Linked DNA regions of Caenorhabditis elegans. The protein of the gene in region 3 purifies or fractionates together with the protein of the main gene of each other region. This does not show direct contact. Each region holds a gene or a part of one and is shown on either strand. Other genes may lie near its edges. The genes, in order: C25G4.8, mltn-1 and lmtr-5.

Evidence for each region.
Region 1: the proteins of lmtr-5 (region 3) and C25G4.8 fractionate together in Caenorhabditis elegans (co-fractionation; one large-scale study listed by BioGRID). This does not show direct contact.
Region 2: the proteins of lmtr-5 (region 3) and mltn-1 fractionate together in Caenorhabditis elegans (co-fractionation; one large-scale study listed by BioGRID). This does not show direct contact.

What each region holds. Positions count from the first base shown.
Region 1 is NC_003282.8:12,456,918-12,467,462, forward strand, and holds C25G4.8 (BTB domain-containing protein), read right to left. Parts: upstream 6,554-10,545; 5' UTR 6,496-6,553; coding exon 6,471-6,495; intron 6,288-6,470; coding exon 6,167-6,287; intron 6,123-6,166; coding exon 5,685-6,122; intron 3,781-5,684; coding exon 3,618-3,780; intron 3,489-3,617; coding exon 3,330-3,488; intron 3,283-3,329; coding exon 3,145-3,282; intron 3,043-3,144; coding exon 2,902-3,042; 3' UTR 2,822-2,901; downstream 1-2,821. Other genes in the region: C25G4.7 (uncharacterized protein), read left to right, coding at 43-55, 103-230.
Region 2 is NC_003280.10:13,136,195-13,148,435, forward strand, and holds mltn-1 (MLt-TeN (mlt-10) related), read right to left. Parts: upstream 9,032-12,241; 5' UTR 8,964-9,031; coding exon 8,722-8,963; intron 7,926-8,721; coding exon 7,774-7,925; intron 7,586-7,773; coding exon 7,417-7,585; intron 6,685-7,416; coding exon 6,329-6,684; intron 6,245-6,328; coding exon 6,120-6,244; intron 5,464-6,119; coding exon 4,873-5,463; intron 3,780-4,872; coding exon 3,285-3,779; 3' UTR 3,150-3,284; downstream 1-3,149.
Region 3 is NC_003281.10:3,179,845-3,188,246, forward strand, and holds lmtr-5 (Late endosomal/lysosomal adaptor and MAPK and MTOR activator 5), read left to right. Parts: upstream 1-3,832; 5' UTR 3,833-3,848; coding exon 3,849-3,883; intron 3,884-4,216; coding exon 4,217-4,295; intron 4,296-4,609; coding exon 4,610-4,783; 3' UTR 4,784-5,397; downstream 5,398-8,402. Other genes in the region: R148.3 (DUF4476 domain-containing protein), read left to right, coding at 6-248, 3,124-3,149; mks-1 (MecKel-Gruber Syndrome (MKS) homolog), read left to right, coding at 6,856-6,914, 7,244-7,390, 7,452-7,559, 7,614-7,721.

The DNA.
Region 1 (10,545 bases), on a different chromosome or scaffold from region 3:
TAGCTATTTACAATATTTCTTCCAACTTTCGTGCCTCAAATCATGAGCAAACCTGGTTAGTTTTGAACGCTTTTTAATGAAATTTTTGAAACTTTTTTTCAGAAAGTGTTCAAGAATCCCTTGATACAATCACATTTATTCACTCTTTTCAAATTACGACCACCAAGGTTGAGCATATGAAGCCGAAACGTTTTACCACGGTCCATCAGTACTCGCTGATTAATTGGTAGGTGATCTCACAGTTCTAGGGGATAGAGAAAAGGGGAGATGGAGATATGTGGGAACTGAAATTTAGTTTCACTCCCCCAGTCTCCCCAAGTGCCTACCTCATGTCTAACGTCTATTCACTTTGTCAGCAAAGAAGCAGTAAAAATTCATTTCGATTCCAGGGATATCGAAATATCGGTATCCCAAATACTTCAAGAACATCCCCAAAACCCTGAAGAACCGGTCGTCGAGAAGGTTTTTCGAATCAGTCTTTATCCAGCCGGACAACATCCTCTTCCTGTGCAGAAAGTGGAGTTCAAGTTAAGATTGGTTGACAATTCTGATGGAGATAATAGTGCGCTTTTGAAATAGTTTCCCAATTGCTTTTACAGACATCCTGCCACCTGTAAAATTCACCTATGAGCCTGACATCACGGACCGTGACGATTTCGACTGCATTACACCGGAACGTGGCGTGATTCGAGACTTTTTGTGCGAGGTGATCGGAAATCGGCAATTCAAGAAATACAAATTGGAAATTCTCACTGTTATCGTATTTGATATCAACAACTTTTTGAGCCTGAAATACTTCAATCGATTTGTTGGAAAACCGATGCCAGTCGAATTGGATTTCAAATATTATCTGTTGATGAATCAGTGAGTATTTTTGTAAGATTTCATATGAAGCCTAAGTCAATCGCATTCCAGAAAGACTCACAACTTCCTTCTCACCACCACTACTCAACAAGGATTCCCGTGCAATAAAGAAGCTCTATACGTGGCTTCTCCATATTTTCGCAACCATCTCACAAGTTCCATAACCAGTTTTCCACTGGAGGTACAATTCTTGGAAGCTATTGAAGTGGTTGGTTCTTATTATTTCTCTTATTCTGTGACGAAAATTCTTAAGGTTGTTACCTGGAAGATTGTGACACGTAAACACAAACAGAGACAGCTCATCGGGTCGATTGAAAGTCACTGCTTTGAGGAGCTGATTAAGGCAAGTTACAGTACCTCATGAGACCTGTAACACTGTTGTTTTTGCAGAACTGTGAGGACTTGGATTATGTGGAGAAGTTGCTCTTTATGGCTCACACTAATTATCTCGGACGTCTTCTCGAAGCCTGCAACGCCACTATTATCAGTTTTCATTTTGCGGATCTTTGCAGGGACATCCAACAAAATGTAAGTTATCACAGCAAAGAATTCCACATGTTTGCCTAATTTTTCTACACATTATTTTATGGCCGGACCCTGCGTTCGTTCAACAGGGTCAAGGGAAGCGCTTCAGTCTTATGGTATCAATTTTTAGAATTTGTGACAAGACTCAAAGTATTTCATTTCCAGAAACGCCTTAATGATCGTTACGTGAAGAGTCTCAACGTGAGAAGTTTCATGAGAAAAGTGCCGCCGGTGGTTATTGCCAATCAAGGATAACAGCTGAACTTTTACTTGTGATGTGAATAAATATTTTGTATTTGAATGTTTCCAATGATTCTAGTCTAATTGTGACGTCACTCTCTCTTCCACATTCTTCTACAGTTCCGGCGTTTTGTTTTCGACCGGCTACCTACTTGCCAGTTGTCGGCAGCTTCTCGATTTCTCTTTTTCTACTAATAGCCCGCTACTCACCCGGCGATGAAAAAAGTGTTGTAACTGATAAAGTTCCAACACACCCACATAAACTTTACATAAACTTTAAAATTTTGAAAATCTTTCTGTCAACGTTTATTTCAATGTTTAAAGGTAGAGTATCGCCAGTGGGGGATTTTGTTTAAATACACATATAAAGATCCAAAACAACCAAATATCATAAAAAACACTCCAAAAATGTTTAGTTTTTTCATAATTTCCAGTAGAAGTTTTGGAACATTGCCAAAATTTTGAAAGATATGAGGTTTTGAAGAAATCCAAACCAATGTCGCAGGTGCCAACCCTTACAATGTTTTAATACGAATAATTAAAACAAAATTACAGTATACAAATGTAGGAAAAATTTTTTTTGGTCGACCTCCAAAATTATGAGTGGCAAAAACTGAGTAATTGTCACTTTTTGACAGTAAATAAAAAATTTTCAAAAAATTTCTCGAAAATTTTATTATGATATTCGGTCATTTTGGCATAATTTTGGGTGTGGTTTTTAAAATTTCCCTCTTGGCGCCACTCTACCTTTAATGGTGTAGAACAGTTAGCGGCTTGCAAATAATATTCCCAACATTCAAATGTCATTTGGCTCCGCCTCTTCTAATTCTTTCAGTTTTCAAACAATTTTTCTCATTGCCATCCAATCTCCAGTTCACAAGTCCCAAAAGAGGCAAAACATGGACTTCTTTTGTTTTTCGTTTGTTTCCACACAGTGATAACACTAGTCTTAGCATTTTCTAGACAAATCAAATGTTTTCCAGCAATCTCGATTCGCCATAAATTTGAACAAAGACAAGTAAATTATCTAGCTGATTTTGATGTTTGTTTCAAGTTTTCTTCAAAAAAATGCAGAATTGTTTTTTCATTTTCAGTTTCTGTATAAATTTTCGGCGAAAAACAATTTTTAAATTTTCGAACCAAGGAATTTGGACCAAAGAAATTGTTTTATTGGAAAAACGAGCCCGAGAAGTGTCGACCACTAGAACTTTATTGAAGTTTAAAAGGAATAAATGTGGCAAAAAAGTTCCCAATAAAACCCTTTATTCAAAGTTAATCTTCTCCGATGGCCGGAAGGAACTTGATGAAACACTTTGACTCATTCGACGCAGCAAATGCTCTCTTCACTTGCATCGTCAGTGATGGCCTCAGGAACTCTTGACGTCGGGAGAATCGTTCTTTCAGTGGGTGATTCTGAAATTATCTATTATTAGTGCATCATGATCCTCTGCGTCAGACATCTGCCGGGCTCCGACAAGAACCCGGCAGGTGTTGGGGGCTTCAAACACCACCAACCCCAATAACGAAAATCCGAATGAAGTCGTGGGCGTGATAGAAGACAAGAGTGGCGATGCAGCAGTTTTGAACGTTTGCAAATTGAGCGTCATCGGCGATGATAAGCATATTGCACACGTACATGATATCTTCATAGTTCTGAAAATTCATACTATAAGCTCGATGGAGCAAGAACAGGCTCTCACCTTCTGCAACTCCTCACAGCAATGCTTTTCGATCGAGTTTTTTAGAACTTTTGGCTCGAAAACCTTCCATTGCATAGCCAAAGCAAATATCTCGAAAGCGAGTTTTGGAGAAAGTAGAGCAGGTTTTTTGTAGATACCAGTGATCATGTAGGTGAGACACTGAAAATTTCATTGAACGGGCAGAATTCTACATAGAAAATTGCTGTAGCCATCTGCTAAGTCTCAACGAAATTTGAAAACTCTGCCACCGCGTCGTTTACAGCCTCCCCTATTGAATCTTCACCGTACAATGTCAATGCTCTGCACAGAATCAGCTCTTCCAACTGTGTACTCGGTAGTTGTGTCCTTCAAATGCTGACGGAAGAATTGAGATGCCAGACAGACAATTTCCTTATTCGTCATCACAAAGTGCATGCCATCGGATGTCTTCAGCTTCAAATCATGACGAGATCTGGAATTAATTTGGTCATATGTTGGGAAATACAGTGCGCCCAACTTCTATAACGCCCCCCTATTTTTTCTCATTTCACCACCTGCTGACATTTTTTACAAAAAACTGCTAATGCCATTCGATTCCAAATGTCGAAAAACCCCCTGTCCAAAATTTTCATCAAAAAATTCAATAGACTGATAGTGAGGAGACTAGGTCAAAAAGTCTCTAAAACGACCGCCCAACTTCTATAGCGCCCCCTCGAATTTTTTATTTTTTCTAATAAAATCCCCTTTTTTTGGCTTTTTCTAAGAACAACTTATTCATGACTTAAGTTCAAACTGATCCAGACATCTTGCAAATCAATTTTCAAAAGAAATTTATCCGTGGAAATTCATAGGATCTCTAAAATTGTCCTGAAACGCCTAATTTTATGTTAGAGGGCGTTGCGCGGCGCCCAATACTTGAATCAGCACCAGAATCAACTAAGATGATCTACAACATCTATTTCATCGGTCTGAAATTTTTTTTCACGTCTTACGTGTCATTTTGTGGCATACGAATGCTCAAGAAAACGTAGTGTTTATTATCAATTTTGTTCGAAATGCCACGAGGACCTCAGCTAACAAGAGATGAACGATCCAAGCTAGATGTGATGGCGAATCTTAATATTTCTACAAATGAAATGGCTCGCCAAATCAATCGCTCTCGTAAATGTGTCTACAACTACCTCAATAATCCACTTTCTTATGGTCAAACCAAAAGAGCTCCCAGATGCAAAGTTTTATCGAGTCGTGAGGAACGCAACATTGTGAAGGCTGCATCGCCGCTTTGCCGCTTTTTCGCTGGGCCGCTTTTTCGGAAAAGAAGAAGCTCCCCATCCAATTTACAAGTCATAAAATGACTGCTGTAGATTATCAGCAAGTCTTGGAAAAGGATTTAGTGAAGTTTTTGAGACACCCGTCGAAAAAAAACTGGCAGTTCCAACAGAACAACGCCAGTATTCATTCAGCCAATTCAACTCGTGCCTTTCTCAGCAGCAAGAAAATTAAACTCCTTAAATGACCAGCTTGTTCACCGGACCTCAATCCGATCGAAAATATGTGGGCTTCCCTCGTGAGACTCGTGTACGCTAATGGAAAACAATATCCGAATGTTGCTGCTCTTAAAGTCGGAATTGAGGATTCATGGAACGCCATATCAGCTACAGAGATGAAAAATCTGGTCAATTCGATGCCTAATCGAATCTTTGAGGTCATCGCCAAGAATGGAGGTCCTACGAAATATTGAACTTTATCTAAGTTAATAAAATCTGTTGTGTTTTTTGATTTCTAGAGGATGGTGAATGCGCGAAGGCCAGTAGTGCTATCTCGTACTAGTAGTATAATAAAAATAAGAGTTGCAAATCTTTAAAAAAATTGCAGACCGATGAAATAGATGTTGTAGATCATCTTAGTTGATTCTGGTGCTGATTCAAGTATTGGGCGCCGCGCAACGCCCTCTAACATAAAATTAGGCGTTTCAGGACAATTTTAGAGATCCTATGATTTTCCACGGATAAATTTCTTCTGAAAATTGATTTGCAAGATGTCTGGATCAGTTTGAACTTAAGTCATGAATAAGTTGTTCTTAGAAAAAGCCAAAAAAAGGGGATTTTATTAGAAAAAATCAAAAATTCGAGGGGGCGCTATAGAAGTTGGGCGGTCGTTTTAGAGACTTTTTGACCTAGTCTCCTCAGTCTATTGAATTTTTTGATGAAAATTTTGGACAGGGGGTTTTTCGACATTTGGAATCGAATGGCATTAGCAGTTTTTGTAAAAAATGTCAGAAGGTGGTGAAATGAGAAAAAATAGGGGGCGCTATAGAAGTTGGGCGCACTGTAGGAAGGCTAGGAAATCTTGCAACAAAAATTTTTAAAAACTAACTTATTAGTGATTGCATCGAAATAATAATCCAATGAATCTGGCATATTCGGTGCACCATTTCCCAACAAATACTTCATATCCACCAAATCATTTTTCTTAAACTCCAACCGAGTTTCCAATTGAATCGTCTGCGCTTTCTTCTTTGCTTCAGCTATCAACGTCGATAAATCTCTTTCGAATTGGGTATTCTGTAGAGTTGTATAAGATCTATGATCCATTCGACCTCTTCGTTCAGCCGGAGCAATTGGAAGTCCATCGATAAAGTACTTGAGACTCTTCTTAATACTTCCATCGGAACCCATCGCTTTCACTTTAAAGTATAGTTTGTGAAGTGGTGGGTATGAATCACGGACTCCTGATCCATTCAGCGAGATTACCCAATTAGATTCACGCGAGTGAAGGATGTGTCCAGCAAATTGTTTGTGGAGTTGAAGATCCCTAAAACTCATAAAATTAAAAAATATTTCTGAAAAAGCACTAACCAATCGAGCATAGTGCTTTCAAAAATCGTGGAAAATGCTCCTTTTGCTCGAACATCTTCTGGACCCAGTTTAAATTTGAGTAGATAATTGAAATTGATAAAATTGTCCGCTAGTTGATACTCTGAAAATTTAGCCTTGTAGATTTCTGAAAAATTCGGACTAAATGCGTCTACAGTTGAGCTCTATCGGTAATCAGTTCGTGTACTCCACATGGACAGGAGCCTTGCCTATGTTTTAGCGACCCAGAAGAGTCTAGTTCTCATGGAATGTACCACGCAACTCTGAGCCCTTACAAACAACTTACTTTGCTCCATATGCATCGCTTTCATTTTGAACAGCTTTTTCTTGCAATATAAATAGGAATAAATTGTGTTGGAAGAATGTGCTGGAATTTTTATTTATTTTTATTTACGTGGAATTATTTGTAAGGCAAAGTATATTAACTTCTTTTTTTTTAAATAATAACAAAAACTCCGATAATAAAGGCCATATTACGCCTAGTTTTTGCATTGTTCTCGGTGTCTGTATCTAAGCAGATAAAAACATGGTGCATCGCAAAAAGATTCACCTATTGGCAGGTAACATGTTATTGAAACAAATCTAAACAACCCTATAAACAAACTTTCATTCAAATTTTGAAACAAAAAAAGAAATATATTTTTTTGTTAAAATACTTAGTTTTCGATTTCAAAAAAAGTGATCACGTGACACGACCTTTTGTCCTAGTTTTTTATGGCCTTATCAATTCAGTATAAAAGGTCCAATTCTCGTTAGTCTTGTTCATATTTCGTCAGAAATCTTGGATCAATCGTCTTTTGAATCGCCAGCCAAAGCTGCCAAGAAGAAAACGAGCAGAAGCATGGGTTCAAGTGATGTGCCAGCAAGATGTCAAAAATCGCAACGTCTAGCTCGAATAAAAATTTTGTCTGAATCGCTTCTTCTGATTTTTGAAAAAAATTAAATTAGTTTATAGTTACAAGATAGAGAACCGGACATTGTACCATTTTTGCTTTTTGATTTCAGTTCCAGAGTCTATTGGTGTTTTGTTGTGTTGCTATTTTTTCCAAATGTTAGTTATAAGAAACGAGCAATTTGTCGATCCAGGCTGTTACATCAAACTAAACCTGACGTTTGGTTTCCGGATTCGGACCACCTGGTTCCTGTTGGAGTTGTTACAGACGATTTTCAAGAAATTTTACAATTACGATGTTACAATACTTTGAAACTATGCTTTCAACATGAGTAGAGCCTGGAATGTAAAATGAATACTCGAACATTACATTTGACAAGCCGGACGTTATGTTTGCCAGCCCAACTTCAAACTTAAAAATGCTTTATTTTCCAATTTACTATAATATATTTACAATTTACTATTGTGAATGGTATGTAGTCGTTTCAAAGAAAACATTTAGTGCTTAACAAAATATAAATTTTAGTCTAACAAGTGAGTATTCCCCGTTAGGCCAACTTCATAAAGTTGATTTTTTTTAATTTTAGTTAACCAAAAATCCTCATTTGTAAAAGTTTATAGTTTCCAAAACTTGTACTGAAAAAGTTCAAAAATCTACAAATTTTTGACGTGTTTTATCATTAAGTCATTTTAGAACACATTAAGTTCAGACTAAATCCCCACTGACAATATTCCACCTTCAAGCTTATAATTCCAGCTAACGATGACGCTCCGTGAATCCAATAGTTCCAAATTACCCAAAAATAATTTTCTCAAACGTTTTTTTGCAATATATTTCATGTGACAGCCCATCAAAAAACACTTTCTAAATATCAAACGAAAATTCTAACAATGCGAATTATGTTTAACCTGAATCAGTTCCGAGAGGGAAAAAGCACATGAAATTCGGCGAAAAGACGCAGAGAAAGAAAAGAACGTTGTCTGCGCATCTGCTTGGCACCACCAGACAAACGGACACTCTCTTCCCGTTCTACTTTCAAGTTTTTTGCTCACTGCTGCTGCTGTTGCTCAAAACAACAAATAAGCACAGAACGAGAGAGCTGCGCGGAGCAACACAGACACGAAGAGCGAGAGCCATTTCCCCCAATTGTGGTAAAAACACGAGACACTCGCTCTTGTCACTCTATCACCAACAAAACCTTTGGTCACTTCTCTTGTTTTCTAGCACATCTAGTCTCTTATGCTTGGTTGCGTGTATACCGGAAAGCGGCGAGTCCTTGTAGCCCGTCCACTTTAAAATCAAAATTTCTATCGTTCTGAAAGCATTTGTTTCCCGTTTTCACATCAATAGATTCCAACTAAATTCCCGTATTCTTGTCGTATGTGATTCCTCGAACGAACTTGATACTTTGAAACGGCTTGTCTCTGACAAACAGCTACGCATGTTTTTTCTTTCCCTCATGTGCTTTTATAATTTTTAGCCGTGCTGTTTAATAGTGTTTCAATTTTAAGCAAACTGGTGCACAATATTCCCAAAATTACCTTGATTCTTTTATTAGTCTTGCACCCAAATTATAAATAGCTTATAAATAGCTTATAAGTAGATTCTATTTGGTCTTTTGGCGGCAATTGTGAACATAAATTTTTCAGTGTTTCTGAAAAATTCCTTATTACGGGATGCTAAAAAAGTTATAATTTTTTTTAGTTCAAAAATTAGAAGAGGAGCTTAAAAATCTAGAATATTATCTATTTTTTTTGAAATTTGAAATTAAATGAAATTCATTCCAAACTTTTCAATTTGAAATAAAAACTATTTTCAAATTGATGATTAAATTTTTTACATTTTGAAACGTGATTATAACAAGAAAATTAAAATCCAGTTTCCAAAAAATAACCGTATCTTCTCTATTAGCAGCACTCTTAACGTTGACTGCTTATATCTAAATTCATTTTCATTTTACTAATAAATGTTGAACTACAAAACTATAGAAAAATGAATAAACTCTATTTTGCTAGTTGACAAATGTTTTGATAAATCAAAAGGCAACCGAAATAAGAGCAGTCAAAGTTGACCAATGCAGTCAAAGTTGACCGTATGTTTTTCATTAACTTTCCAATGTTCATATTCCAATGTTCCTTTCTTCGTTAAATTCGAAATTTCGTATTTTGTTCATTCATTCATTATTTCTTTTCTTCCCTCTCCATCCCATTCTCTCCTGTTTTCCAACACCAGCACCCGTTTCAAAAAGTATGTCACTTTTTTTTGTCGTCGTCTACTTGTCCAAACATTCAAAAGACACCCGAGACAGATTCTCAAGGTGATTTGTCAAATTTTCTGTGTGACCTGATCACCAAATTCTCGTTTACTTGTTATCATCTTTCCAGCTATAATCTCTCAATCTTGATCAGCTGTTCAAAATCTCGTACTTCCTCTATTAGTCTTGCACCCCTTTCTCACTTCATTTTGACAGTTTATTTTCAACATTTATTAAAATTACTGACAACGATTTATAGAGAAAGCAATTATCAAAAAATTGTTCGTTGATAATTTTTTGATAAAACCTATGTCAAATGAGATATGAGCTTCCAAAGTTTGTCAATTGAATGCAGGATGATTTTCAAATTACTTCAAATTTTTCTATATTACCAAATGCCCAATTAAAAAATTATCAAAATTTAAATTTTCACTCACTCATAATTAAAATTTAAAATTTGAATCTACTCATCGCGGCGTTGACAAAAAACACCTTCAAAATTTATTTCTACTTTTCTACTTTTTACAGTCTACTTTTTGTGTCAAATAAAACCCCCATTGGGACCATTGGCTCTGCAATCATTTTGATTTAAAACCATTAATTTTATGGGTGGGCAACCTTCCGGGTACATACTTCGAATTCTGCAGAATTATTTTGCTTAAAAATTGCCAATTGATCAGTTTTAACACCGGTGATTTTGGTGGTCACAATAAAAATGTTTTCTACAAGTTCCTAAAAAATATATATTTTAATTATACTAAAATCTTACTCTAAATTTGCCGAAAAACTCCATAATTTTCAAATTGGCAATGTACCAAAACTTAAACTAAAATTTTTGAAAAATCCAATTTTTTAAAACCCACCTTTGAAATATTTTCTCATGAGAAATCTACAGTTCTTTTCTTGAAAAAAACTATTTCCCTTTTTTCAAATTTTTATATCGATGTTTTCTGATAGATATTTTGCATTTGAATGGAGCACTTGACAGATATACCAATATTTTGCTTCAATTTTAAGATAGATGAACATATTTAAATTTTCGAAGTAACGGCATTTTCTTTTTCAGAAACTAGAAATTCCTAATTTTTAAGATTATTTTCATGAGGCAAAACATTTTTTTAATCTGTAACACACAGTTTTATCTTGATTTCAAAGTCATAAAATTTCTTGAAAATTGGCCCACAAAATGCTGTGTAAAACTTATAAAATTAAAA
Region 2 (12,241 bases), on a different chromosome or scaffold from region 3:
CAATCATCTGGTCGACAACATGGTCCACATGTCTTCCTCCTTTTGTGGTGGAAACGTTGTTAGCAAACGAAATTTGCTGGAAGCCAACGTCCGAAAGGGCCAAAGCCACCTGCCAGCGATTTCCAATTTGCTCGTAGACCGTCTTCAGAGGCTCTCCTTCAAATGTGATTTGTGAAGTATACATTTTCACGTAGTCCTCGAATCCCTTGACTGAAATCATCTCTCCATTGAGGATGACGTCTACACCTTTACAGGTTGCCGCCACGTCGTAGGCACGCCGAGCCATCAAATGGCAGATATCGTCGTCAAGTTCCTTCATCTTGAACTTTGCCAGATCCGGCGAGAATGTGATCTTCGTGAAGTCTTCGTCGGTGCTCGGAACAATCGTCGGCTCCTCATCACGCGTCATGTTGTTGATCCACGTTTGCTTGAATGCACTTTTGTAGACCCGAGATGACGTCTCACAAGTGAATTTTGTGGAGAAAATGTTGCAGAGTTTAGCTCCATATCCGTTTCGTCCTCCTATCATTGCCTTCTGATTGCCGACGAAGTTTGATGACGTGAGAAGACTTCCGAAAATAAGCTCAGGAACGAAGACTTTCTCCACTTTGTGCTGAGTGACAGGAATTCCTTTTCCGTTGTTGTATACAGAGATCTCGTTTTTCGCCCTGAAAGAAGGTAAAATCAATTTAAATTCATTTTGTGCTACGCTCTAAACTTACTTGTTGATGGTAACTCTTATCGTGTTCATCTTCCGATCTCTCTGTTTGTTGTCAGCCGCATTTACAAGGATTTCGTCATAAATCTTGAATAGTCCCGGCACGTATGAGATGTCACGCTGCTCCAGCTTGCTGTCCTCCATGTTGTAGACCCACATCGGCTTCTTCTCGGTGTGCTCGATTGAGCCGATGTAGCTGTCCGGACGCAGGAGGATGTGCTCGAGTTGGGACTTCTTTTGGTAGATATCCACGATCGCCATTTGTTTCGAGCCACCACCTTTTTTGTCGATCGACGTGAACACATTGCGGTCCTCTTCAGTCATAACCATCGACTCGTTGGCTGAAAAGAAGCAAATTAGAATCAAGAAACTCTACAAATTAACCAACCATCATCTTTCTTGTTCTTCGGTGACGCCTTCTCCTTCTTTGGTGCGGTCTTCTTCGGATGGCTTGATTCTCCGACACTGTCTGAGTCGCTCATTTTTTTGCGATCTGAAAAACACGAAATTTAAATTTAAAGCAGCCGGTAGAGTACAATAAACTTGAGGATGAGAAAAGAGAGAAAAAAAACGGCGAAAAATGAGTGAAAAAGACAAAAAAATTTGTTCTCTCTCAACACACTTGGAGTCGGTCTCTCTCCTATTATGATTTAGTCAAAAACAAATGCGGGAATTTATGCAGTTTGGCACTTTGCCAAGAAACAAAAAGAACATTACAACATCTAGAGACCTCTAGAGAAAAAATTAATAAAGAAAAAAAGGGAAGATGGAGGACTTTGCTAAATTGTCAAAGTTTTAAGTGAAGTGCCAATTGTTGGCAAATTGCCAAATTTATAGTGAAATGGCAATTTTTGGCAACTTGCCGAATTTTTAGTGAAATAGCAATTTTTGGCAACTTGCCGAATTTCTAGTAAATTTCCATTTTTAGTGAATAGCCAGTATTTCGTAAATTGGCAAATTTTTAGTGAAATGGCAATTTTTGGCAACTTGCCGATTTTTTAGTGAAATGGCAATTTTTGGCAAATTGCCAACTTTTCAGTGAAATGACAATCTTTGGCAAATTGCCAACTTTTCAGTGAAATGACAATCTTTGGCAAATTGCCATTTTTTAGTGAATTGCCAGTTTTTCGTAAATTGGCAAATTTTTAGTGAAATGGCAATCTTTGGCAAATTGCCAAATTTTTAGTGAAATGGCAATTTTTGGCAAATTGTCAGATTTTTAGTGAATTGCCAGTTTTTAGTGAAATGCCAGTTTTTAGTGAAATGCCAGTTTTTCAGAAATTGGCAATTTTTTGTGAAGTGCCAATTGTTGGCAAATTGCCAAATTTCTAGTGAATTTCCATTTTTAGTGAATAGCCAGTATTTCGTAAATTGGCAAATTTTTAGTGAAATGGCAATTTTTGGCAAATTGCCAATTTTTTAGTGAAGTGCCAATTGTTGCAAATTGCCAAATTTCTAGTGAATTTCCATTTTTCAGTGAACCAATTTTTTTTAATTGGCAATAGTTAAATAAATTGCCGATTTTTCGTAAATTGTCAAATTTTTAGTGAAGTGCTAATTGTTGGCAAATTGCCAAATTTATAGTGAAATGGCAATTTTTGGCAACTTGCCTATTTTTTAGTGAAATGGCAATTTTTGGCAAGTTGCCAAATTTTTAGTGAATTGCCAATATTTTGTAGATGGGCACTTTTTCAGTGAGAGACAGGGATGAGCGGCAATTGCCGTTCGGCAAATCGGCAAATTGCCGGTTTGCCGATTTGCCGAAAAATTTTATTTTTGGAAAATTGCCGATTTGCCGTTTGCCGGAAATGTTTAGAGAGATTTTTTTATCAGACGCGGAAACAATTAAAACTGCGGAAAAAATTCTGAATTTTTTTCCGTTTTTTCTAAATATTTTCATGGAATTTGCATACTTTTCAAAATAAATGTAGGCACATTCATAGGATGTGAAATTCTGAAATTTCCAAAAAAAAAGTGCAAACCCACAATTTGCCGGAAACTTTCGGCAAATTGCAGTTTTTCCGGCAAATTTGGCGAATCGGCAGTTTTGTCGGTTGGAAAAGCAGAACTATTCGGCAACTTTACCGTACTCTTAGTAATATGGCAATATTTTTTGGAGCTCAAAAAGTGTAAAAAATTATGCAAAAAAAACTAAGTTCACTGGTTTTCGCTCGATTTTTGCCTAATGCTGCAAGATAAATCTGTGCGGCAAATTTCAAAATTTGCCGAGGTCTGCAAATGGCAAATTTGGCTAACTTGCCGAACACTCCTTGCTTGAGAGGAGCACTTAATGTATCTTGATGTAATTTGTTAATTTGTTAGACGCTCAGAAAACTAATCTTTATCCACTCTCATACCAGTTTTCGAACAGCTTAAAAAATATTTTCTTTAGACTATCTTGTCTGGATTTGTTTTAGTGTAAGTCAAAATAAAAATTATTATATTTTTATTATTATTAAAAATAATCAATTATTAAATTGTACATGTAATAGTTGTAGATTGAGAAGTTAGATATATGACCCATAAATTCACAAGTGAAGTATATATATATATATATATATATATGTTATGAAAGCCAACTTGGAGAGGCAAACACGGTGACCATAGCTCCATCGGATCCCCACGCGGGGCTCAGAGCATATGGAGAAAGCACGACAGCAGTCACATACTGAGGAGAGAGGATTGTCGGGGACAAGACGAATGGGGACAGAACTAGGGGACTCAACGCCAGTGGGTTCAGAATAATTGGTCCGAGACAGAACGGAGTCAAGATCAGTGGAGTCAGTACTTGTGGGGAGAGAATGAATGGGGCGAAGATGAGCGGGGAAAGTACGAATGGATTCATGGATCCTGGGCACAGGATGAATGGGTTAAAGGCTAGAGGTGATAGAATGATCGGAACCAGCAGGAACGGATTCACAGCTACTGGTGATAGAAGACGCGGGGAAAGAATGACAGGTACCAATAGCCATGGGGAAAGGATCATTACTCCGTAGACAGCTGGAGAGAGGATCAGTGATGACAGCATGACAGGAGACAGGATTGCCGGTTGGGAGACAGCCTGCAATATGGGAGATTTTTTGTTGGAAAATTTTGAATAAATTTTCCAGATTTTCAAGTAAGAGCGTTCGATTTTTGAGAAAATTGAGACAGAGCCACTGATAATGGCAATATTACACTATTCAAAATTTTTCTATGAATAACAGTAATTTTGGTGCTCCAAAAAATATTTAAAAATCAAAATTTTCCGAGTTTGCGAAGAACGGCAAATTTGCCGAATTTGCCGAGTTTGCCGAGCTCTGCAAATTTTCAGATAGCCCTGATCGGCACATTACGAAACTAAGATAGTCTTCGAGCAATTTTTCAAAACTTTCACTGAAAAGTAAAATTCTTTTCAGAATATACAAACATGTTTCTATATATTAAACAAAATTCGTTCCATCTGAAAATAACATTTATATTTGTTGAAAAATCTCTTAAAAAGCCTCAAGTTGTGCCAGAAAGTTGCCGTTTGCTGAAAAAAATGCCGTTAAAAGTATTTCGGCAAACGATAACTTCCAGGGACTATTTGAAAATTTTTTCAAACTTTTCAACAAACATAAATATTATTTTCAGATAGAACAAACATTTTTCTACACTTCTATACCTATTTTAGATTTAAAAAATTGGATTATCATATTGAAAATATTGAAGCCGTTTTGTATGTTTGCTGCACAGTCAGCAATTGTCGACCGGCACAGCAATTGTCGACCGGCAATTCTACAAAATGAGACGGTTGGCCAGGCTCCCCATAAATTTTTCATTGAAATTTAATGATAGAATATAAAAAATATTTGCTTCATTTAAAAATTACTGTTAGTTTAGTAGAAAGATCTTCAAAAATAGTCTGAATGTTGAAAATTTCCGGTGAAAATTGCCGAAAAATTGACGGCAATTTTCCACATTCAGACTATTTTTGAACACTTTCTCGCTATTTAAAAGTCTAGTGAAAATTATTTTCAAGTAAAGCAAATATTTTTTATATTGTATCTTTAATGAAAAAAAAATAAAAAATTTAATGAAAAATATTGTTGGAACATGCCCAACCGTCTAATTTTGTAGAACTGCCGGTCTGCAATTGTCATGCACCCCTGCGCACAGGCCAGTTAACTCACCACTGGATCCAAAATGAAGTTACTAAATGTGATCGGTGATAAAATAATATCATTTCTCTTTGCCTCAAATTTGACTTTCTCATGTGCCAAGTCCTTGATTGTTCCCATAATAGCTCTATCGATTTGTGGTCTGCTCATTGATTTTGCCAATTTCAAGAACTTCTCATTTTCCCCCACTGATCCCTTCCCGTAGATCAAATCCATCTGATCATGTCTCATAATAGTATAGCCTGTTCTGTTCATCTCCTTGAGCTGCTCATCGGTATAAGTTTTATCCAAAGACTCGAACATTTCGATTTTCCTCGCCTCATGCGGATATTTTTCTGTTACATTTTCTTTTGTGAAGTACAACGGTTGACCTTCAGGCCCTCTTCCCATCGCATCGTCTTTGAGTCTTCGATACTCTCCGATTTTTCTTTCAACCCGTTCCATCGCTTCATTGACACCAGTTGCTTCCACAATAAAATCCAAGAAATCCTGAGAGTCTTTGTTATCGGTGAGAGATCCTAGGATGTTTCCGAGTGATGCTTTCTTTTCTACTCCAGAGCCATCCTCGTGTAGAGCAAATAGTGAAGGAGAGAGGAGATCAATCTGTAAATTTCGAACATTGTGTCCGGCAAATATGCCGAATTTGCCAAACTGACCGAGCTCGGCAAATTTCGTGATTTGCCGCCCCTGGAATCGGCAACTTCGGAAATTTCCGGTTTTGGAAACTCTCGGCAATTGTCGGTTTTAGAAATTTTCGGCAATCCGCAATTTTGGAAATTGTCGGTTTTGGAAATTTCCCGGCAATCGGCAATTTCGGAAATTGCCGGTTTTGAAAATTTCCGGCAATCGGCAATTTCAGAAACTGCCGGTTTTGGGCATTTTTTTCGAGATTTGCTGGTTTTGGAAATTTTTGTTTTCTATCGAGATTTGCTTGTTTTCGAAATTTCCTGCAATCGGCAATTTTGGAAATTGCCGGTTTTGGAATTTTTCGGCAATCGACAATTTCGGCAATAGCCGGTTTTGAAAATTTTTGGCAATTGCCCGTTGCCGAAATTGTTATGGTTCGGCAAACTTGAAAATTGCCGGTTTTGGAATTTTTCGGCAAGCGGCAATTTTGGCCACTACCGGTCGCCAAAATTGATTTGGCCGACCGAAACTTTTGAAATTCGGCTAGTCCGAAAATTGCCGGGTGCCGAAATCGTTAGGGTTCGGCAACTTCGGCAAATTTGCCAAATTTGCCGCACACGCCTGTCCCTTACCTCATTATTCTTTGCAGCTTCTTCTTGTGGAATCACACTCATAAGACGTGGACTGATAATTCTGACAATTTTCCGATCGAAATCTGTTGTATTGTGACCCGACATTTCCAATCCCATCTTGGCGGCTGTTTTTTATTTATTATAATTAGAAGGTTTCGTTTTGTAAAAATATATCTTTTGGCCAAATTAAAAATTTTCACATTACTAACCATCTCTCATCATTTTCATCGGAATCATCATCAACTTTTCCTGTTCCGTCATTTTATTCTTCCTATTCCTCAACACCTCCTTAATCTGATCATTGTCTATAAATTGCTCCAAATCGTTGAACTCCTTTAAACTATCATCCTTCGCAATCTTCTTATTCTGCTTCATCTTTTCAGCTGCATCTGCATAAATCGACATTCTCTTTTGCATAAAATCCTCCATTTTCTTTTGCTCTTTGATTTCTTCGGCTTTCTTGGTGATTCGTTCGATAGTATCTTGCCACTTTGACACCTTGTCCGTCTTTTTGAGAAGTTTCACAGCGCTAGAGAGATGTCTCGTTACCAGGCCGAATGGTGTCCTAGAACAGATTACGGTTTATACATATTTTATGGCAGCAAACAAATTGTTTAAATCGGCAAATCGGCAAATTGTCGGAATTGAAAACTTCCGGCAAATTGGCAAATTAAAAAATTGCCGGAATTGAAAACTTCCGAAAAACCGGCAAACCGGCAAATTGTCGATTCGCCGAGTTTGTCGGACAATGGCAATTGCCGAAAACTGTCGACAAATAGTGGATTGTGGTTTTGTACTTTTTTGGAAATTTCAGAATTTCAAATTTTGTCGACAAAATGGTACGCATTCGATGAATGTTCCTACATCTGTTTTGAAAAAAATAAGCAAATTCTATAAAAATATCTAAAGAAAACGGGAAAAATTTCAAAAAGGCACAATTTTAAGTGTTTCCGTCTTATAAAAATTATCTTTAAAAACGTCTGGCAATTTGGCAAACCGGCAAACCGGCGATTCGGCAAATCGATAAATTGCCGGAATTGAGAATTTCTGACAAATCAGCAAATAGCCGAAAATCAAAATTTCCGACAAATCGGCAATTTGCCGAAAATCAAAATTTCCGGAAAATCAGCAACCCGGAAATTTGCCGAAAATTAAAATTTCCTGCAAATTGGCAAATCGGTAATTTGCCGAAAATGAAAGTTTCCGGAAAATCGATAATTCGCCGAAAACCGGCAATCCGATTTGCCAATTTTTTTTGTCAATAAACAATTTTTGCCGCCAACACTCAACCACTTACATTTCTTTTTCGGCTTTTAAAGTATAGCTATCTCTGGTGTGCACTCTAATTTCTCGTTTTGCCCGAAACTTGAATGACCCAATCCATTCTTTATCTTCCCGAATCTCTTTTTCAGTTATTGGAGTCATTGTAGTGTTGGTAACCATCTTATCGATTCGGCGACGCATCTCTGGAATATGTTCAGTACAGTGGGGATCAGGGCTGAACGGCTAGCTGATTTTTTTTTTTGGCTGTCAGCTCGTACAGCAAGCCGACTAATTGGGCAAAATTTGGGCAAAATTGGGAAAATTTCTTCAGAAATTCTCAAGTCAACTAGAAATGTTTACCTTTTAAACTACGTAAAATTAAAATGCTCACTTCTGCTGAAGAGCTTTCTCCTATGAACCAATCGATTTCTATGTGCGTCGTCTTCTAGCTTGAGCAAGCAACTTGCGTGCTCCGAAAGAGTTTCAGCCTCGGATGAGCATTTCTCATGGCTCTTTTTTTGGTAGTCTTCAACAAGGGCTAGTCTGAAATATTAATATATTTAACAAATTTAACAAATTGCTCGTGGCATTAAATGCGTATTTTCTTAAATGTTAAGTAACGAAATTTGAGAAATTGCCATTTTTAGATCTAACATGGTCCAAAACTACCAAATTTTGTAATGAGACGTTCTGAAAATTTATTTTTTAAAAAGTTATGGCCGCTCAAAGTTTAGGCAAAAATGGTCAATTTCTAGCTAAAATCTCAAATTTCGGCAACTTTTCAGAGTGCGCGGCAATTGCCAGCCGGCAATTCTACAAAATGAGATGGTTGGACATGTTCCCACAATATTTTTCATTAAATTTTCATGATATAATATAGACAAATATTTACTTTATTTGAAGATAACTTTTATTTGACTTGGAACAACCGAGAAAGTGTTCAAAAATTGTCCGAATATTGAAAATTACCGGTGAAAATTGCCGCCACTTTTTCGGCAATTTTAACCGGCAATTGTCAACATTCAGACTATTTTTGGAGATTTTTCTACTAAAATAACAGTTATTTTCAAATAAAGCAAATATTTTTCTATATTGTATCATTAAATTTTAATGAAAAATTTATGGGGAACATGCCCAACTGTCTCATTTTGTAGAATTGCCGGTCGAAAATTGCCGCGAAAAGTTGCCAAAATTTGAGATTTTAGCTAAAAAAAAAGATCATTTTTTCCAAAACTTTGAGCGGCCATAACTTTTTTTTGAAAAATTTTCAGAACGTCTCATCACAAAATTCGGTAGCTTTAGACCATTTTAGGTCTAAAATAACAAAGTCTGATCTCACCTTCTTGTAGCAATCGCTGCGACAACTCCGGAAAATCCTTGAACCGCCCAATGCTCCAAGAGCTCTTCTCCAGACTCTGTCGACATGGGAACATTGAAAACTTTGTCTTTATAATGTGGAGATTTCAAGATTTCTTTTTGCGTCAACCCATATTTTGTCACATCTACTTCCGATTTAACTTTTAAGCAGGTGCATGGATACGGTAGAAGTGTTAGAAATAAAATAATAGGGAATAGGATCATAATGTGGTAAACCAGAGACCAGAGAAAAGGGATTCCCTGTGATTTTATGGATTTCTGGATGTAAAGAGGGCGGAGTTTTCGGATTCATCCCGAAAGTTTTTCCAAAACGTGGTTATCACTTGCTGGGCGGTGCCTTCCCGTGACGAGGAGAGAAGATGTTCTCAAAGGATGGGAGATGATCCCGTTGAACCAAGATCTATAGCATAACAGGTGGCCACATTTTGATCCTGATTTTCACGATTTTGATGATAAAGATTGAAGTGTGTATGTGTGTGTTCATATCACGTGGAATGCGCATTGTTTCAATGATGCTAGTTTGAAGGGGGGGGGGGCGGTCAAAAAGGATTCAAGTTTTGGTTTTTATCTTTGAAAATGCGAAAAACTATTTGTTCCCTGTATGTGTGTTTGACAACTTCTCAGGTTCTTCGGATTTGGAAGGATTAGAAGTTTTATACGGTAATTCAGTTTTCTCGAGTGATATCCAATAGGATCCCTATATTTGATTACGATTTATGCACACAGTGTACCGGTAAACTAGGCTGGGCGGCAAACTACAAACGATTTTTTCCGGCAAATCGGCAAATCGGCAAATTGCAGAAATTTAGCATTTTGACAAATCGGCAACTTGCCGGAATTTAAATTTTGGGCAAACCTGCAAATCGGCAAATTGCCGGAATTAAAAATTTTTTGGCAAATCGTCGGAATTGAAACTTCCGGCAAATCGGCAAACCGGTAAATCGTTGGAATTGAAATTTTTGTTGGCAATCCGGTAATTTGCCGATTTGCCGAATTTGCCGGAAAAACGGAGATTTTCGAAAATTTTCGCCGAATTGTGGTTTTTCAATTTTTTTAAGCTTTAGAATTTCAATTTTAATCGGCAAAAATGTACGCATTCTATGAATGTTCCAGCATCTTTTTCGAAAATAAGCAAATTCTATGAAAATATTTAGAAAAAACGGGAAAAAATTTCAAAAAGGCACAGTTTCAAGTGTTTCTGTCTTCTAAAAACTCCCTCTAAAAATTTCCGGCAAATTGATGTTTGGCAAACGGCAAACCGGCAAATCGGTAAATTTCCGGCAATTCGGAAAATCGGCAAACTGCCGAAAATGAAAATTTCCGGAAAATCGACAAACCGGAAACTTGCCGAAAATTAAAATTTCCGGCAAATTGGCAAATCGGTAATTTGCCGAAAATGAAAGTTTCCGGCAAATCGATAATTAGCCGAAAATGAACGTTTCCGGCAAATCAGCAAGTTGCAGAAAATCAAAATTTCCGGCAAATCGGCAAATTGCAGGAATTGAGAATATCCGATAAATCGGCAAATCGACAAATTGCCAAAAATAAAAGTTTCCGGCAAATCGGCAATTTGCCAATTTGCCGAATTTGTCGACAAAAAATTTGCCGAACGGCAATTGAACAATCAATGACTTACATTTCTTTTTCGGCTTTTAAAGTATAGCTGTCTCTTGTGTGCACTTTAATTTCTCATGAATGTTCCTACATCTATTTTGAAAAGTAAGCAAATTCTATGAAAATATCTACAGAAAACGGAAAAAAAAATTCAAAATGCACAGTCTTAAGTGTTTCCGTCCTTTAAAAAATCCGCCTAAAACCTTCCGCCAAATTTTGAGCCGGCAACGGCAAATCGGCAAATCGCCGAAAATGAAAACTTCCGGCAAATCGGCAAACCGAAAATTTGCCGATTTGCCGAATTTGCCGGAAAATAAATTTGCCGAAAATTTAACAAATATATTTTTTACAAAAGAAAAAAGTTTGATTTCTTATCTTCGGAATTTAACATTTTTCAATATTTTTTTCATCTTAAAAAATTGTGAAATCTTCAATTGTCTTTGATTTTTGTAGCTCATTTCGTAGTAAAAAAATCGTGTTTATTTTTAAAATCAAATTTTAAATTAGTACGGCTTTATTATATTTAAAAAAAAATGCGAGAATAAAACGATTGATTTGAACTTATTTTCGACTCCCAAAAATTTTGTGTACTGTTAATTTATCAAAATTTCTCATTTCAGAGAATAAATTTCTATTTACCATTTTTGAAACAATGTTCTTTAAAATTATAAAAATTTATTGTAAATTCTAGAAAATTTCAGATTTTTTAGAAAGTTCTAGAATTTAGAAAATTTGAGTTTCCCACCATGCCTTTTTCTCCGACTGGAATAAATAAATAGGGCAGACTTTCGGAAAAGATGGAGTATGTTTTATACGGTAATTCAGTTTTTTCGAATCCCGGCCAATTAGACAAGTTTCCTGGGTCGATCTAATTTAGATAAATTTTCCAAGATGCTTCACTTATCTCTACATTTTTTTAATAAATATTATACTGATATTTTCAAAATCATCCGAGATACAACACAGGGGTGGGAAAACGATTTTTCCGGCAAATTGGCAAATTGCCCGTATCGAAATTTTCGGCAAATCAGCAATCTGCCGGAATTGAAAATTTCCGACAAATCGTGAAACCGGCAAAATGCCGAAAATTTTCAATAAATCCTCTAAACATTTCCGGTAAATCTGATATCTGGCAAACGACAATTCGGCAATTATGAAAATTTCCGGCAACGTGACAGAATTGTAAATTTTCGCAAAATCGACCAATTGCCGGAATTGAAACTTTCGCCAAATTGACAAACCGGCAAGTTGCTGAAAATTTCAAAAAAAAAAGTCCTCTAAATATTTCCGCCAAATATGATATCCGGCAAACGACAATTCCGCAATTATGAAAGTTTCCGGCAACGTAACAGAATTGAAAATTTTCGCCAAATCGACAAATTGCCGGAAATGAAATTTTCGGCAAAAATTGTCGGTTTTTTTTGGACCTAAAAATCTGAGATTTCTGTATTATTAACATATAAGTAAAATTCGAAAATTTTCGGTGTATTGATCCCATATTTCTTGTAGTTAGAGGTACTTATTACGGCTACATTCCAGTTTTTTTAGATGCTCAAAAACGTCCTACCCTACTTTGAAACATTCTCCAATTATCCACAAATTCCGTGATTTGTAGTCATTGTACCTACCGTATGACCTACTAATCTTGCAACTTTATCCTATCCCGCCGCCCATCACCAATAGCCGTATCCATACCGTATCTTTTCGAACTTGTTTGTTGACCGGAACTATGTATATGAAATATTCAGAAATCGAAACTGAAAACAAACATCAATGTGAACTAGAAGGACTAAAAAGTAGATGGAAATCCGGTTGAGCAAAGAACAGTTTTCCGAAATGTGATAGTTCTCTATGCAGATATAAATGTA
Region 3 (8,402 bases):
TGCAGATCCCTATTCAATGAATCCATATCTGCCCGGCTCATCGGATTCGAGCTTTATGAGCACATCTCAGCCACAATTCCTTCCGCTTAACCGTCAACACAGTCGAAGTGGACATTTGATGAGCAATTCGGCGAATGGACCATATTCATCGGGTGGCTCAAACGGTGGACGGAGCCCACCACCAGAGATGCCGCTGCTCAGCGCGATTCCACCGCCAGGAGCACGAAAACCGCTTGGCAAACGGCCAGGTACTGGCGAATTTTGATTTTCTCTCGGTGAAAATGGCCCCGGAAACTGAAAAAATCACGATTTTTGGCTAAAAATGTATGAATTTCAATAAAATTTCAAATTCTGGCGATTTTGAGCTAAAAATGTCATTTTTCCAAGGTTTTCTACTCCAAAATTGTCGAAAACTGCAAGAAAGTTGAAAACAATAACTATTTTCAGATTTTTGAGCCCCAAAGTACTCGAAAATGTGGAATTTCCTGTGAAAAATTCTATTTCTTATCCGAAAATGCGAGTTTTGGCCAAAAAATCGAAAAAAAAACTGAAAATAGTGTTTTTTCGCAAACTTCCTGCTAAAAATTCGGAAAAAAAACTGATTTTTACCCGAAAATTTCTTTAAAAATGCTAAAATCTGGGCTAATTATCTTTTACTATGATATCTTTTACTTTTTTACCTTTTACTCATCCATTTTATCGAAATTATCTTTTACTCATTTACTCATTTTTTTTCAAATTTATTTGTTTTATCTTTTACTCATCCATTTTGAAAAAAATTATCTTTTACTCATTTACTCATTTTTTCCATTTTTTGCTAAAAATCAGTTTTTCGGGTAAAAAAGTTGTCAGGAAGCCGATTTGGGACCTATATTTGGCCAAATTTCTTTAGTTAATGATAAGGTGATCGTTATCTATTAGATAAAGTACTCCGACCACCCATCCGGTCTTCACTAGTCATATATCTCGATATGTATATTCAGGCAAAATTATTGAGAAAACTGATGGAGTCCTTTCTGAAATGTCTTTAATTGATGGAATTAACAGTTTTTATCGCTCATCTACTCAAGTTTTCCAATTTTAATTTTTTATCTTTTACTCATCATTTTGAAAAAAAATTATCTTTTACTCATTTACTCATTTTTTTGAAATTTTACCAAAAAAAGAGTTTTTCGTGTAAAGAAATATTTTCAAGCCGATTTGGTTGATCAAACTGCTCAGTTAACGTTGGTTAGTGATGTTCTATAGATAAACTGTTGGAAAAAATTTTCCAACTTAAAAGTTGCCATTATATCATCAAAGATCCAGACAAGCAAGTTCAAGTGACTATGTGGAGTCTACCCACTCAAAAATTTTTTTTTTCAAAAATCAAAATTTTGAGAAAATTGATGAAGTTCTTCCTGAAATGCATATAATAGATGAAATTAACCGTCCTGAAAAAAATTTACTACACTTTAACTGGAATTTTAACCAAGTTTTTGCCGATTCAGTTACCCAACGTAGAATTTTGAGAACACAAGAGAACACAAACTTATATCAGATCATTTGAAGAAGTTCAAAAAAAATTCTGAATGGATCCGGATTCGAACCAGGATTGTTTCTACTGAAGAGCCCGCGCTTTACCACTTCACCAAACAGGTGAGAGGCGCCCTCGTTTCAAAGCTATATATGAAATCTGTTCCATCTTGAATTTGGTAACTCAAATTGACAACTCTTCATGATAACACGAAAGTATTCTATTCTGGAATGTTGTGCAACTATTCTTATCCACAGCTAACTTGTCCTAATTGATCTTATCCATAACGGGAATGTAGCTTATTTGATTTTGTAGTCTTAGAATGTGCCTGTATTCTTCAGTGAAACCCTCCCGGCGGCCTAAAATGTTTTTAAAACTATTATTTCCGAGTATATTTTTCTAAACTTCACTAGATAACAGTTTGGGAATTTCTGTGATTCATCGAAAAAGCCTTTTGCGAAAAAATCATCGTAGGCCTAAAAATTTTTCTCAAAAACACCTCGAGTCTTGTATTTTCGTGGAGATAATATGCTCAGTAATTTTTATAATTTTTTTTTTCATCAAAAGCCCTGTTTTCATGTTTAAAACGTCTTTTATTACTATTTTATTCCTTTCAAAAATCGAAATTAAAAATTGTTCGGAGTACGGTAGACCTCGGTGTTTGCGTACTTTTGCGTACGGTGCATTTTATTTGACGACAATTTTATTTTTGAAAGGAATAAAACCGCAAAAAAAGACGTTTTAAGCTCGAAAACAGGGCTTTTGATGAAAAAAAAAATTTTTGAGTGGGTAGACTCCACATAGTCACTTGAACTCGCTTGTCTGGATCTTCGATGATATAATGGCAACTTTTAAGTTGGAAAATTTTTTCCAACAGTTTATCTATAGAACATCACTAACCAACGTTAACTGAGCAGTTTGATCAACCAAATCGGCTTGAAAATATTTCTTTACACGAAAAACTCTTTTTTTGGTAAAATTTCAAAAAAATGAGTAAATGAGTAAAAGATAATTTTTTTTCAAAATGATGAGTAAAAGATAAAAAATTAAAATTGGAAAACTTGAGTAGATGAGCGATAAAAACTGTTAATTCCATCAATTAAAGACATTTCAGAAAGGACTCCATCAGTTTTCTCAATAATTTTGCCTGAATATACATATCGAGATATATGACTAGTGAAGACCGGATGGGTGGTCGGAGTACTTTATCTAATAGATAACGATCACCTTATCATTAACTAAAGAAATTTGGCCAAATATAGGTCCCAAATCGGCTTCCTGACAACTTTTTTACCCGAAAAACTGATTTTTAGCAAAAAATGGAAAAAATGAGTAAATGAGTAAAAGATAATTTTTTTCAAAATGGATGAGTAAAAGATAAAACAAATAAATTTGAAAAAAAATGAGTAAATGAGTAAAAGATAATTTCGATAAAATGGATGAGTAAAAGATAAAAAAGTAAAAGATATCATAGTAAAAGATAATTAGCCTAAAATCTGATATTTCATGCTCCAAAAAAATGGAAATTTTTCAAAAATTGAGGTTTTCGGTCCGAATATTGCCGAAAAAAGTGCAAAAAATTTAAAAAAATCGATTTTTTTTTTCAGATTCTGCTCACCATCTTGGCAAATAGGACACTGGATGCTGCTCTTGGATTTAAATTTTTTTTTCTTGTAATTTTCTTCTTTTCTTTTAGATTTTCTATATATATATATATATACCCATTTTGTTCTCTTCTCTGAATGTTTTTCCCCTTCAATTTATCGATTTTTTCGATTTTTCCAACCAAAAATCGACCAAAAAGTGTCTTAAATCATATCAAAAAGCTCAACTTCGCTTCGTTTTTTCTTGTTTTTTTTAACTTTTCTAGAATTTTCACCTGAAATACGAGTTTTCCCACCTCTAAAACCCCCTGTCGCCTTATTTTATACCAAAAATTCAAAAAATTTGAGGCAGAAAGCGCGCTCCACTGGTAATTTTCGCGGAAATGCGATAATTATCACTGGAGCGCACATGCTCTTTGAATTTTTATTGATTTTTTTCCGACCGAAAATGTGATTTTTCTGTGGTTTTTTTTTGTGCTCCCCCCCCCCAGCCGACTAAAATTGAAATTATTTTCTTCGTGTATAGCTAAATAATATATATATTTATTTATTGATTGGTGTTTTTTTTCTCTGTGAAAAATGAGTTTTTTTGTGAAATTTCCGGGTTTTTTTTTTGGTGGTTGTGGTGATGGTTTTCATGCCAATTATTGTATTCTATAAATTTCCTGGAATTTTGAATTTTCTTTTTTTCGCTAAAAATCTTGAAATAGTGAAGTTTTTCAGCAGAAATGGAGTCGAAATTGGAGCAAAACGTCACAGCGATGTAAGAGAGCAGGAAATTTGAAAAACATTCTATTTTTTGTTACAAAATTCGCTAAAATCTCGAAATTTTGATTAAAAATCGTTTAATTTTTGAAAATAGCTTAAAATTTCTAATAATATCGACATTTTTTTTTATAAAGAAAGTGTTAAAAATCCAATTTTTCAAAGAAAAAAACTGGATTTTTACTGAAATTTTACGAAAATCCAAAATTTTTCTAATTTTCCCTCAAAAATTGAGAAAAAAAAACGACTGAATACTCTGAAAAATAGCGTTTTTCGTGAAAATTTCAAATTTTCTTCTAAAAAACCCAAAAAATTTCAAATTTTCTTGCAGGATGTCAAGCACCGGAGCATCGGGAATTACAGTCGCCGACTCGGAAGGTGTCAGGCTTCATTCGGCTGGAAAGATTACTGTACGCACAAAAAAATCAATTTTTTTCGGAAAATTGCAATTTAAAAGCGAATTTTTATATAAGATTTCGAAAAAAAACAGCAAAAAAATCAATTTTTCTAATTGAAATTTCGAAAAAAAATTCGATTTCCCCACCAAAATTGAAAAAAACCTTTAAAAATCGATTTTTCACCAAAAAAATTGCAAAATTAATCGAAATTTCAAAAAAAAAAAAAAAAAAAATTAAAAATCCATTTTTTCTTAGCCAAATTCAAAAAAATCGATTTTCTGATAAAAATTCTCTAATTTTTCAAAAAAAATCAATATTTTCTTCAGGATATGGCAAATGTTGGCTCATTGATGATCGCCGATGCGAAGAATATGTTCCCAAAAGGTACAAGAAATAAGAAGAATAGTTATCCAATTGTCACATTACACTCATCGGACGGATCAAAGACTACGGTGGCCAATAAGCATGGAGAAACTGTCTCAATTCATTTTCAGAAATAAATTACGTCGGAAAATCTGGAAAATTCACGAAATTTCACTCTAAATCGCCTGTTTTTACCTGAAAATCTCTTTTTTTGATCATTTTTCCTGAAAATTTCACCAATTTTTCTCAAAATTACCTTTTTTAGCGGAAATTGGAAAAATACAGAATTTTTTAAAAATCTAAAAAAAAATCGGAATATTTCATATTTTTTTAAATCAAAAATCTGACATTTTCAGAAATTTTTGTTCGAAAATCTAAAAATTTTGAACGTTTTATTCAAAAATCAACAAATTTCATATTATCTGCTTCAAAAACCTGAAATTTCCGGATTTTCTTACAAAAAATCAGTTTTTTTTTCAAATTTTTTGTCAGAAAATCTGAAAATCTTCTGAAAACCCTGATTTTTTTTTGTATTTTCTTTGACTTTTTTCAATTTTCCCCCATTTTCCCACTTTTCACCCCACTGAATCCCATAAAAATCCCCGTTTCATGACATTTTCCACCACAATTTTGTATGTAAATATACTAGATTCCCGCCAATTTGATATGTGATCACATTCCCCCCTATATTCCTCTCTTTTTCTCATTGAGTTATCACTGTTTCAGTGCTTAAATAAATGTTTTACCAAAAAAAGTTGAATTCTCCGTAAAATTTCCATCATTTTGACGCTAGTTTTGGGATATTTACAAAAAAAAAATCATTTTTTGCCCCAAAAATCCATAATTTCTCGGAAAATATTGATTTTCCATGGTGTTTTGTATGAAAATTGAGTTTTTCCATTAAATATCCGTTAATTTGACACCCATATCGATTTTTCAAAAAATCGGATTTTTGGCCTAGTGGTTAACACGGATGGCTGAGACACACAAGACCGGGGTTCGATTCCCCACTGAGGTTAATATTTTTATTTAGTGTCTTTTTTTTTGTATGCACTTTGAAAATACGGAAATATACAGAATTTATACTTTTTTTAAAAAATATTATTAGCCCAACTGTTTTAAAACCACTTTTAGCATGATTTCTCAGAAAAATACCGATTTGAAAGATTTTTCTTGTGAGAATTCGGATTCTCCGTAAAATTTCCGTCAATTTGACACCCATATCGATTTTTCAAAAAATCGGATTTTTGGCCTAGTGGATAACACGGATGGCTGAGACACACAAGACCGGGGTTCGAGTCCTCGCTGTGGCTATTATTTGTATTTAGTGTCTTTTTTTTGTATGCACTTTGAAAATACGGAAATATACAGAATTTAAAGTTTTAAAAAAATATTTTTTGGCGAAACTGTTTTAAACCCATCCTTAGCATGATTTCTCAGAAAAATACCGATTTTAAAGACTTTTCTTGAGAGAATTCGGATTCTCCGTAAAATTTCCGTCAATTTGACACCCATATCAAATTTTCAAAAAATCGTTTTTTTTTTTTGGTCTAGTGGCTAACACGGAAGGCTGAGACTCACAAGACCGGGGTTCGAGTCTCCGCTGTGGTCAATAGTTTTTATTTGGTGTGTTTTGTATAGGACACGCTTTCAAAAACCGGAAAAATACCACAATTTAGGACTTTTGGATTTTTTCTGGCATAATTAATTTTTACAAATGTTTTGCCTAATTTCTCGGAAAGTATTGATTTTTCATGGTTTTTTGTATGAAAATTCTGTTTTTAAATCAAATTTACCTCAAATTTGACACCAATTTCCAGCAAAAAAATTTTAACCTATGGCCTAATGGATAACACGGATGGCTGAGACACACAAGACCGGGGTTCGAGTCCCCGCTGTGGCTAATATTTTTATTTAACGTTTTTTGTGTTCAGCGACATTTTTTGAGTTAAAATATGACCAATTCTTCATAAATGCCTAATTTCGGGCGGTTTTTCTTGTTGAAAATTTCGAGAAAAGTTTAGAATTTTAAAAAATTGTATTTATTTATTTATTATTTTTAAAATCTTTTGTATTTTCTTCGAATGGACGTGCTTTTTCTTTCTCTTACCCGGTCTCATTTCCCTATGCCCCCCCCCCCGTCACCATAGGAACCCTCCTCCGGAGGGCGAGGTGGGCTCGCGGAGCACACCCCTAGTAGAACATCAATATGTCCCGTTTATCAAGTACTTTCGGTTTTGCCGGATCTGTGGATCGATTATCTATCAGGTAAACTTTAAAAATCTGAGATATCTGAAATTCTCAAATTATCAGAATATAATAATTTTGAAAACTCTTTTCTTTTTTTTTGAAAAATAATTTTTTAATTCTCAAAAAGGGAGCGTCAAATTAACGAAAAATACAAGGTAAATCAAATTTTCAAAAACGAAGCTGCTTAAAAATCGATATTAAAAAAAATTTATTTTTGAACTTTTAACAAATGAAACAAAAAAAACTATTTGCCACAGCGGGGGCTCGAACCCCGGCGTTGTGGGTCTCAGCCACCCCTGTTAACCACTAGGCCAAAAATCCAACTTATCTCAAATTTCGAATTTCAGGGTCCAACTCTTCCAAAAAGGCATTCAATCTCTCGATTTTGACCGTTTTAATCAGGATAACAATGTGATCGATGAGAGACCATCAAAAAGTCGTCTTGATGACGTCACTTTCAAGTGGAAACAAAAAGTTGGACGAGCTGAGAATAGGTAATGATTAAATGTTTTAAAGTGTAAAAATAGTTTTAAAAAATCGAATGTTTTTTTCCAGCAATCGTCGAATTTTCACACTTCGAGATGGGGATGAATTCCCAGATTATTTGAGTAGATTCAAGCCAACAGAGGTTTCAGAGCCAGCTGAAAATAAAAAGGAATCGGAGTTAGTTTTATTTTCGAAGAAAAAGTTTTTTAAAAAAATATCAAATATTTCCAGATACCCCCACAATGACTACATAGTCTATCGAAAATCTGCCGCATCTCGCCCAACAATCAAAAAAAGCTATCTATACATTTTCGCCCGTCTGGGCCCAATGGACATTGAGTAAGTAGGAGTTTTTCTTATTAAAAAAGGTAATTGCACTTAAAAATTGAGATTACTCGTAATTTTTGCGATTTTAAATGTTTTCAACAAGTGCCCCATACTAAAAAAAACAGAACAAAAATTATTGAACGGAGTGGGGGCTCGAACCCCGGTCTCGTGAGTCCCAGCCATCCGTGTTAGCCACTAGGCTAAAAATTCAAATTTTTGAAAAGTCGATATGGGTGTCAAATTAACGGAAATTGCATGAAAAACTTAAGTTTTCATGTTAAAATTTTTGAAAAGTAATAGTTTTTGAGAAAGTCAAATAACAAACTCGAAATGGAAAGCTTCTCGAAAAAAAATCGAAAAACACCAAAAACAGTGCTTTTTTAGTTTCTTTCAAGTATTTTAACATGAAGATGAGAACATACAAAAACTACTGACCGCAATGGGGGCTCGAACCCCGGTCTCGTGAGTCCCAGCCATCCGTGTTAGCCACTAGGCTAAAAATTCAAATTTTTGAAAAGTCGATATGGGTGTCAAATTAACGGAAATTGCATGAAAAACTTAAGTTTTCATGTTAAAATTCTTGAAAAGTAATAGTTTTTGAGAAAGTCAAATAACAAACTCGAAATGGAAAGCTTCTCGAAAAAAAATCGAAAAACACCAAAAACAGTGCTTTTTTAGTTTCTTTCAAGTATT